2 linked regions of the Callithrix jacchus genome follow. The protein of the gene in region 1 purifies or fractionates together with the protein of each later gene. This does not show direct contact. Links are inferred from orthologs where the notes say so. Each region holds a gene or a part of one and is shown in the gene's direction. Other genes may lie near its edges.

Region 1 (5,325 bases):
GGAAAAGACAAGGGATTTGAAGGCCCAAGTCTAGAATCTAATGCTCTGGGTTAGGAAGGAGGTGAAATTCCTCTCATTCTTTGGCTCATGAATCTGCTGCAGCAGAAAAAACAAAGCCTGAGCTGATGCCTACATTACCTCTAAATTGGCTTGCAAATTACTGTGGCCAAGTCCAGGATAGACTGTGACCTGCTAGTGTGACCTTGATTATGACTAAGACCTCCGCCATAGTTGAAAACTGCTGATTTTGGCTGGGCGTAGTGGCTCACTCCTGTAATCCCAGCACTTTTGGGGGCTGAGGTGGGAGGATCACGAGGTCAGGACTTTGAGACCAGCCTAACCAACGTGGTGAAATCCCATCTCTACTAAAAATTCAAAAATTAGCCAGGTGTGGTGGCAGGCACCTATAATCCCAACTACTCAGGAGGCAGGAGAATTGCCTGAACCAGGGAGGTGGAAGTTGCGATGGGCTGAGATGGTGCCACTGCACTCCAGTCTAGGTGACACGGTGGGACTCCATCTGAAAAAAGAAAAAACTGCTGATTTTGTATAACATATGCCCTGAGTCCAGGAGGACAAATCTGTGGAACGAAGAAAAGAGAAACAGTAATAGTGTTGTGATCTTATGTAGAGAAAACATGCTAGTAATGTAGGTTGGGGAGTGGAAAGTGTTGAGGTTTATGACAACAGCAAGTGTTTATTGGGTACATAACCAGTCCATGTACTACTGCCCACTTTCCATTTTGTTTTGCCTGTGACTATGAAGGAAGTGAGTATTTTTTCAAAGGAAAGCAATTAATAGAACTCAGCATCAGTGTAGCACTTGGTGTTTGCAAAGAGGTTTTAAATGCGTTATCTAGTTTGAGCCTGTGAGAATAGGCATTTTTACCTGTTTTACAAATGAGACATTCATATCACTGAGACATAGAAGAGGAGAAATTACTTGATTAAGGTATTCCACCAAAGGGACCTATAACTTAAATCTGTATCTTTGATTTCACAGAGACAGCGTTCTAATACTCTTTCCAATACTCTCCAATTTTGTTGCATCTAAGTAATAGGTATAGCTATTTTTGGATTTAATAATGTGTTTAAGTTTATACTGATATTACCCACATAGAAAATAATAAAAGGAAATGATGGCTTCCAAAGTGTTTTAGTATTTTTAACATTCTTTGGTTGAGTCCTCAACACTAATAATTAATAATTGCGAGCAAATGTGCCTGTGAATTACTGCAATTAGGAACTCTATATGTCATTAATTCTTACAACACTCTTTTAAGGTAGTTATCGCTATTATTATTATTAATTCCTATTTTAGGATTGAGGGAACTAAAGCTCAGAAATTTAAATATGTAGCTCAAGACAGTAAATTTCTGAGTTAGGATTTAAGCCCATTGTAAAACACTAAAATGATTTAAAAAAACTTATACTGCCTTCCAGAAAAAGTGTGGCTCCTTGGAAATTATTGAATTGGAGTCATCAGTTGGATGCATTTGGGTATATTAAGAATGAAGTTACCTGTTAGGGCTACACAGTGTCTTTATTAAAGCTCTGTTTTAAACCAGGTGCTGTAACAGACGCTCTTTTTTTTTTGCATTTTGCCTTTAGGTCTGTCAGTTTGTCGTTTCTGTCAATGGGCTTAATGTCTTGCACGTAGACTACCGGACCGTGAGCAATCTGATCCTGACGGGCCCACGGACAATTGTCATGGAAGTCATGGAGGAGTTAGAGTGCTGAGTTCCTGGGCCTCCCAGCCCTCTAGCGGCCTGTGGGTGATCGAAGCCAGAATGACACAAAGCAATGCAATGATGAGATTTCCATGCAAATGGATGGTTTCAGTCCTATGAATCTTCTCCGCACACACACATCTAAAGTTGAGTTTTATACACTGAATGTGGAAGAACCGGGTAACATATCTTTTTAATAAGATGTCAGTGTAGAAAACATTTGGGAAACAGAGTTTTCCTACATGGTAGAAATGCCTTACTAGATTTCTGTTTGTAGGTCTTGTTTGTTGTTTTTTATCTTAGTTTGCAGAAAGGTGTTGAAATGCTTCTCTAGTCCAAACAGCAACATGCTAAAGTCCCCTTCTCCAGAGTCAATAGAGTAGTCGTTAAGGGTTTTTAATTGTACTTTCTCCAAAATTAGCACGGATCTATTTGACAAGGAATCTAGATGTCACCAAGATTCAAACTGAAACAACATCCAAAGGAATAAGACCTGTTCACTAGCATTTTCAAGGGGATTCTAAAGCATTCAAGTGCTTAAAAGCCATAAAAATTGATTTCTCAATTCCTGCCTTTAGTGTCAACTTTTAAGTTAGTACAGGTTTCAATTGTGGCATTAGCTAAAACAAAAACACAACAAAAAACGAAAAAAACAAAAACTGGGTGATGCTATGGGCGAGGGTAGATAGGGAGAGACTGCACAAAATTGTCCCTATTTTCTGTCTGAGCCTAAAATCATTTTGTTTTATAAATCAGGTATATTAGCTTTCTAGATTTAATCTTGAATATGTTGAATGTTAAAACAGAGAAGTTTGTATATACACGTCATTAAAAAAATCAACCCTTCTGGCAAGATTTCACTTTGAAGGTGTCTGTTTTTAAGCGAAGTCTAAAACTTTGCTGATATGTGATAAAACTTGAACTCTAGATTGCCTCCTTAGCCTGAATTTTTACTAGCTTTCTAGTGTAACATATTCTAAGGACATGACATGCTGCTTATTTGGGGGAATTGTTTTTCACCAAAATGACCATCTTGCATTGTAACTTTTTAGCTCACTTGTATATATGCATGTTTTCATTTTTGGTCTAGAAAATAGTACATTTCGGGGCTTGGTGTGCAGAGGAAATTCCTCGAAGTGCCAAATTAGGGAGTTAGGCAATACTAAATTCTTCATTCCAAATAAGGGATCTGAATGAAGAGGTTAATTTTTTTTATCATGCATTAACAAAATAAAATATGAATGTCATACCACAGCCATTTCTTTGTATTAGGTTATCATAATGTACAGGTACTGGTGGAATGGACCTACTGTGCTAAATATGTTATGGACATAGATATATATATTTCTGGTAATCTAACGTTTCTGATTTGTAGCTTTAGTCAGAGAATAGGATTTTGGAGGGACAGAGAATGTCTAACAGTAATACTGTTGATATACATTTGAGAAATACTATCACTTCTGTGTGGGTGTGCGTTTGTACTATATGGCAGGCTCTGCGCATTTAATGTCTATGATATTCTTTAACCGTCATCACCACCTTGCAAGGTAGGTATTAACATCCACATTTTTTCAGATGTGGAAACTAAGTCTGAGCAAGTTTTTAAATGGTCTCTAAGTTCACACAGTTGCAAGCAGTACTCAGTGACGGAGGCTGAATGCAAACACAGGTTTAATGCTAAATCCCATGTTACTCCCCTCAGCCTTTCCCCATTTAAGGACCTTACATTGAGGGTTTATTCTGAGCCAGGCTCTGTGCTAAGACTTTCTGCCATTTGTCCTTATTGGCCTGTGAAGTCGATATGGTCATTATCTCCACAAATGAGGAAACTGACTCGTAAAGTGGTTAGTCATATGCCCAAGGCCACAAAACTAATGAAGTGGGAAACCTTACCACTGGCTTTAAAAAATTTATAGCATCTTTAAAAGATGAGTCTTAACTGCTTTCTGTCCTCAGGTATTCATTAAGTGACAAAAGAAGAAGGAACGCCTTTCCAGAAATGGCATCTTCTTCTTGCCTGCTTTACCCATTATCTTGGACCCTGGCATAATAGAACTTCCCTTTAGCCAACCTAAGCACCAGAGCAGCATCCCTCTGTGTCTATTGCACACAACCTCCTCTTGCCCGTGAGGAAGGAAGGAAAGAAGGGAGGGAGGATTTCCTTCTTTGGTTCCCATCACCCTAGGTTTAAAGGCCAAATTCCAGGGAATCTCTTAAGGCCATAAGAGATTTCCCTTAGTTATTCCTCCAGCCCACCCCTTATATCTTTACACAGCAATTAAAATGACTACACCTGCTTCCCCGGGGGCCCTATCTCACTCCCTCCAGCCTTTGCACATGTACTTTCTTCTTTGTGGAAAGAAGAACATTCTGTCTTACTGTTGCCTGGAAAACTCTTTCTTCATATAAATTCCCTTTAGAAATTATCTCCTCTGAGAAGCCTGCACCAGCTCCCCAGTTCTAGGATTGATGCCTCTTTTCTAAATTCCCATGGATCCTGAAGTCCTCCCCGTGCCCCGTTAGAGCACTGATGACATTTACTTTGAAATTTCCCTGTTACTGTCTATTTGCTTAAGTAGACTCTAAGTATCTTCAGAGCAGGGGCTGTCTTACTATCCAGGGTATTCTCTTCACCTAGCACAATTCCTGCCACAGAGCAGTGTGTCAGCTCTCCATTGTTGTCTAAAAACCCACCTCAAGGGTGGGGCACAGTGGCTGGTGCCTGTAATCCTAGCACTTTGGGAGGCCAAGGCAGGCAGATCACTTGTGGCCAGGAGTTCAAGACCAGCCTGGCCAACATGATGAAATCCCATCTCTAATAAAAAACAGAAAAATCAGCTGGGTGTGGTGGCGTGCACCTGTAATCCCAGCTACTCGAGAGGCTGAGGTGGGAGAATCACTTGAACCAATGAGGTGGAAGCTGCTGTGAGCAGAGATCAAGCCACTGTACTCCAGCCTGGGCAACAGAGAGAGACTCTGACTCAAAAAATCAATCAATAAATAAGTAAATACATAAAAAAGAAGAAAACCCAGTCAAGTGCAGTGGCTCAAGCTTGTAATTCCAGTGCTTTGGGAGACCGAGGCAGGTGGATCACTTGAGGTCAGGAGTTTGAGACTAGCCTGGCCAGCATGATGATTTTCCAGGCATTTATGTTTATGTTTTTGCTACAGAGATGAAAGTAGTTTTTGTTTCTTCGTTAGCATATTAGCATAGGATGCACAAATTGAAAGCCATGTTCCCTGGTAGAAAGAAGTGCTATTGCCTTTTGGATTGATTCTATTGTCTGATGTGTTATCAATCTTTGTTAAATAATTGTGTAAATTAATATAGAGACTAGTTGAGAAATGGTGGATAACATGAAGAAGATACCCATCTTTGCATAGATTAGATGTGATCAGCTTCACACTATCATATAAAAGGTGGCTGCATTGGAGAGACAGGAATTAATATTAAAAATGATTTCAGTTCAGATCTATATCTTACATTTCCAAATACTCTTTTCTTTCAAATATGGGGTATAAGTAATCTGCTTTAAGTCCTATTTTAGGCTGGGTGCAGTGGCTCATACCTGTAATGCCAGCATTTTGGGAGGCT
Region 2 (5,779 bases), on another chromosome or scaffold:
CAAAGCTAGGGTTTGTGTTCTCCTATAGAACATACACAATTTCAAAGAACATCAACATCAGACGAGGTGATTCTGTGACCATGACAGATCTAGACAAATACAAGACCACTCTATAATCAGGTCCAAACAGATAAAACCTGATGATTGTCCAAACCACAAAAAATGACTCCAATACCTCTGATTGGCTAATAGAGGGAGTTGCTGCTGCCTTTTTTTTTTTCCCCCATTTTTGAGACAAGGTCTGTCTCTATCGATCAGGCTGCAGTGCAGTGGTGCAATCTCCATTCACTGAAACCTCCACTTCCTGGGCTCAAGCGATCCTCCCACCTCAGCCTCCCAAGTGACTGCGACTACAGGCACATACCACCAGGCTCAGTTCATTTTTGTATTTTTTGTAGAGACGATGTTCGCCATGTTGCCCAGGCTAGTCTGGAACTTCTGGGCTCAAACAATTCGCCCGCCTTGGCCTCCCAAAGCGCTGGAATTACAGGCACGAGCCACTGTGCCCGGCCAGGCTGCTGTTTCTTTACCTGAACAGCTTTAGCCTTACAGGCATTCCCTTCCACTAGATAAGATGAACTGAGATGCTCAATCATGTAATGACCCTCTCTTCCTGACAGCATCTAATCCAGAGAAGCCCACACTTCCTTAAACCCTCTTCCGAATCATTAACTGTTACCCAGATGCCCCATCGTTCCTCAATGTGTGTTTTCAGTCACTGCAACTAGTAATAAACCCAGTTTGTTCAACGATCCGTGTGTTCCTGGTGGGATTTGGTTAAAGGGCATTGACAACCCTAAGTGGAGGCTGAGTTCACTAGAAGTCTCCGCTTGTGTGTTCCTTCTTAGCCACTATCACTCTTTTGGTTAATGTCTGTCGTCCCTCTACCAGAATTAAGCTCCATGAGAACAAGAGCCTTGTCTGTCATGTTCAGAGCTGATTCTCAGTGCCTAGAGCGGTACGAAGCAGAAGCTGGATGCTTAAAAAATAACCATTTCTGGGTCGGGCGCGGTGGCTCAAGCCTGTAATCCCAGCACTTTGGGAGGCCGAGGCGGGTGGATCACGAGGTCAAGACATCGAGACCATCCTGGTCAACATGGTGAAACCCCGTCTCTACTAAAAATACAAAAACTTAGCTGGGCATAATGGCGCGTGCCTGTAATCCCAGCTACTCAGGAAGCTGAGGTACCCAGGAGGCGGAGGTTGCGGTGAGCCGAGATCACGCCATGGCACTCCAGCCTGGGTAACATGAGCAAAACTCCGTCTCAAAAAACAAAACAAAACAAAACCATTTCTGAACGAATGAATGAGACGGACTCGATATACGCAGGTTCCCTTTAATCTTGCAGCTCCTTGCAGATTGTATGACATACACACACAGCACCACAGCCCATTTCCCAAAACTCCCTCTTTCCTGAAGAAATCTCCAAACTCTCAGGATGCCCATCTTCTCAGAGCCTCTTCCCTGGGCCAAGCTTCTCTCACTCGCTGGCCCCTTCCCACACCTGAGCCCCAGGCCCATACACCTACCTTCCTAACGCCCCTAGAACCCACCTGTCTCCACCATCTGCCCTTACTACCAGACGCTGGCAGACGGCAGCGCAGCTACCTAAGCGTCGAGTGGGCACTGCGGCATGGACCGCGCATGTGCGGAAATGGGTCGCACACGCAGGACCTCCGACTAGGGAGGAGTTGCCTCGGAGTTTCCGTCCCGGTCTGGGCAGCCTTGGGCTGCCAGGAAGTCAGGAGAGGCTACTAGGAAGTAGAACCTGGGCGCACGGCTTTCTGGGCCATGTAGTCGTGGCGCTCTCGAGGCCCTAATATGAGCACGCTCTTAACTCTTCAGGTTTACACGTCCTACATCCACAGTACAGTGCTACTCTCAGCTCGGAGTTCAGCTTCGGGTGCCTAGAACCAGCGGCCCGGTGTCGGCGGCTCGCTCCCACAACGCACTGCGGGCCGCGGCGCCTGCTGGGAGGTGTAGTTCTTGCTCTGCGTACTGCGTTCGCCGAGGGGGAGGGCGGAGCTGCCGGCGGCCCGGGCGGGCTGGCAGCTAGAGTGGGTGCGATAGCCGCCTACGCCTCTGCCGCCTCCGCCGTCGCCTCCTCCGCCCGGGCCGTTCGCTGCTGCGCGGGGAGAGCGAGGCGGGGCCGCCGGGCCGCCATGGAGCCCGACTCGGTGATTGAGGACAAGACCATCGAGCTCATGGTGAGTGCGGCCCACTGGACCGTCTGTGCTTCCGTCCGTCCGGCCCCGGACTGGCCTGCCCACTTCAACGTCCGGTGCGAGGCCGGCTCTGGCCCTTCCCCGCGGTCTCGGCCCAGACCCGGGCCCCTAGCCTTCTCTGGCTTCGGACTCGGCTCGGGTTCCTCCGATCTCTCGACATCTCAGGCCGGTCCTGGCCCGGCCCCTTCCATGCCCCTCGCTCGCTTCTCCCCCTCCCCCTGTCCCGTCTCCGGTCCCAGCTCTCGGACGACCCTCGCTCGTTTTTGCTGTAGAGTTAGGTCTCACTCGCTCTAGCACCCCATTCTCCTTCTTTTAGAAGGGGATTTTTTTTTTTTTTCTTTACTCTGTGTCTCCGGCCCAGGCCCGCACTGCGCTTGCAAGCCCCACTCAGGCCGAGTGTGGTGGTGGGAAGGAGTAGGGAGGAGATCGGTCGGGGCCGCCTGGGCCTCGGTGTCCTAGGAGGGGTTTCAGCACCCACTCCCCAGCCTAGGTCTGTGTGGATGCCAGGATAGGCCCTGCAGAGCTGGGGGGCAGGGAGCTCTCGGGTTTGAGGCTGTGGCGGATAAGGAGGCCTCTTTCCCGGGCCCTTGTGGTGTCCGGCTTCTCGGACAAAGGGTTTCCTACCCGGCGGAGAGGGATGTTTGCATAGCAAAGCCCCAGGTACTCTGGATTCCATACCCCAGGAAAGAGAAGCCGCAACTTCACGTTTTCCAGAGCTGCTTTCGGAAATTGGGGATGATGGGGGAGGGAACCATCCTCATCACTGCCGGGAGTTCTTTCTTCTCAGAAAGAAAAAAAAAAAAAAAAAAAAAAAAAAAAGGGGAATCCTTGGCCCCCGGGGGAAACGACCACTCTTCTGTTAGAAACCGATGGCAGCCAGGCCAGACTCCCCGGTCCGTGGACACCCTCTACCCTCTTCCGAAGCTTTAGGATTTGAAGCCAGAAGGGGTTTTTAGGAACAGGACCGTGAGAGAGTGGCTAGAAGTGAAGAATTTGCTAATTGGTGGATGATTTGGTGGAAGAAATAAAATATGGCAGATATTACCTGCCAATTTGAACATGAGGGAAATCAAACTGGGCTCTGGAGAGTTGGGAAGAGGAAGTCTGCATGAGCAAACGGACGTGTCCAGGATTTCTTTCTGTGGAAGCCTTGACAGTTTCTTTGTATCTGCCCTAACACGGTAACAATTTCCCCTTGGTTGAGAGGAGAGGTGGAAGAATCTACTTAACCCAGCAAAATGTTTTCCTAGCCAGATTTTCTTCAGTGTGAAAATGTTTATTGAGTCAGTGATTCCACTGGGTAGGGTTGGTGACATCAGAGCCACTTCCCCCATTTAACGCTATAAATAATAAATGGTGACACTGAAAGTCTGTTGGATAGCTGCATGGTTTCTGTGGATGATGGTATCTGGGGAGTGGAGATACTTGTTTTAAAAATGGAAGTACAGTAGCATAAATATGGAGGCAGCTTAATGTTTGCTGTCCTTTGCGTAATTCACAGAACTGGACTTCTCTAGCATTCTTGAAAACTAGGAGGAAAAAAAGGGAAACTGATAGTTTTTGATTTTTGTATGCATGTGTGTGTGCACGTGTGGTTGTTTTCAAAGGGATAATGTCACATGCTGAGTAATTTTTCCTTTTCAGCATAATTTATCATACTTGTAGTCAGTGTTTGCTATTCTGTAACTTTTGTAGTGGGTTATTTTGCTAAATATCTTAAATCGACTAAGTATATTACATATTCTTAAGAATGTTCATACAATACCTGTACTTACAACAGAAGTACTTCATATCGAAAAATTGTAACTTGGTGCCTCTTTGAAATTGGCTGTTCCCAGCTCCTTCTGTTTCTATTCTTTTTAAAAATAACTAAAATGTCTTTATTGTCAAAAGAATTGGGAGAAATACATTGTAACCCACATCAGTGTATGGTTACAAAATAAAAAAAATAAAAACCTTTGGCCTAAATGCATTGGCTTCCTATGTTTGTAACTTAAGTTTTGATTTGACATGATAGCACTTGGTTTTGATCTGAAAAGAGATTTCAGCCTGTTAAGGACATTATAAACGGGGATTTAAACTGGAATTCTTAGAAAATTTAATGGAGAGTTTAGTTATATTATGATTAATTTAAAAATGGGTTTTTATTTAAGGATTTTGATATTCCCTGAAAGGGATACCATTTGACTTTTAGACAGCCCTTATTGTAAATTAAGTTTATGTATTTATTTTAGTAAAATAGCAAAGGTGCTTAACAACTGATTAAGTAAATCCAGGATCAAATGTAGGAATGATAATGCCTTAGAATCTAATTGCATGTGGCTTTCTGTTTTCACTACATTTAAATGACAGTTTCCAGAACTGGGTTAAAAATGTTTTTTACATTGGTTTCAAAATAATACGATTGATAGAGATGGGGTTAAAATGATGGTGTTGTAAAAAAAAATGACCTTAGCATGAAATATTTTTAGATTTTTATGAGTCAACTTGAGTACTCAAATATTTGTGATTGTGCTGCTTGTACCAGTTTGGCACTTAATGGTTAACAAGATAACTTTCATTTTGTATTCCAAAATGTGCTGTACTAGAAAGAGGAAACAGACTTCTTGGTTATCTCCATTTTCTAATCTTCATCCTTCTACTTCCCTTGATATTAATTCTTCTGTCTTTCCTGGCATTTTTGATAAGTACATTAGGAAATAAAGCTGGTGATAGCAGAAGAATTAAATTTCCAAATATAACCCCCACGTTGACTCCTACCCCTGCCTGAGGCCTGGGTCCACAAAGGGTGTGTCTCCTACTGATCTGCTCTATAGGATCCAGATTTTAATGTTATTAAAGTCTATAAACTCTTAATTTAGACCGTGAACTTACTGATGATGAACTGATGGTAAAGAATTTAACCACCAGAAGACTTTTATGGCTTATATTGGCTCTGTACCTGTTAGTGGGCCTGTTTTTCCAGATTTCTTATCACTTTAGGAAAGGGGATCCTGCCTCCTCTAGGGATTGAGTGAATCTCCTCTTCCCTTTACACAATTAATGGATGGTTTGTAGTTAATTGTTAAATGACTTCCCTTTTTGCTGAATGACCTTAAGTGAGTCATTTCCCTTCTGTTTATCTCTTAAGTGGCTGTATTACTTGTTGAATGAAGTAAAATAGGTTAAAATACATTGATCCACTGGGCGCGGTAGCTCACGCCTGTAATCCCAGCACTTTGGGAGGCTGAGGCGGGCGGAACACTAGGTCAGGAGTTCGATACCAGCCTACCAACATGGTGAAACCCTGTCTCTAAAAATAAATAAATAAAAATACATTGATCCTTATTAAGAAGGTGTGGGCAGGTGCAGTGGCTCACACCTGTAATACCAGCACTTCAGGAGGTAGAAGGATTGCTTGAGCCTAGGAGTTTGACACCAGCCTAGGCAACATAGCAAGACCCTGTCTCTATAAAAAATAAAAAAAATTAGGCATGGTGGTGCACTCCTATAGTCCCTGCTACTCAGGAGCCTGAGGGGTGAGGATTGCTTGAGCCCAGGAGTTTGAGGAGAT

The links.
Region 2: the proteins of DEPTOR (region 1) and FBXW11 purify together in Homo sapiens (affinity purification with western blotting; 4 studies listed by BioGRID, with this or other methods). This does not show direct contact. The link is inferred for Callithrix jacchus from reciprocal best matches to the Homo sapiens genes DEPTOR and FBXW11.

Annotation. Positions count from the first base shown.
Region 1 is NC_133517.1:77,364,099-77,369,423, reverse strand, and holds part of DEPTOR (DEP domain-containing mTOR-interacting protein), read left to right. Parts: intron 1-1,611; coding exon 1,612-1,740; 3' UTR 1,741-5,325. UniProt on the Homo sapiens protein: Negative regulator of the mTORC1 and mTORC2 complexes: inhibits the protein kinase activity of MTOR, thereby inactivating both complexes. DEPTOR inhibits mTORC1 and mTORC2 to induce autophagy.
Region 2 is NC_133503.1:64,278,095-64,283,873, reverse strand, and holds the start of FBXW11 (F-box/WD repeat-containing protein 11), read left to right. Parts: upstream 1-2,028; 5' UTR 2,029-2,163; coding exon 2,164-2,208; intron 2,209-5,779.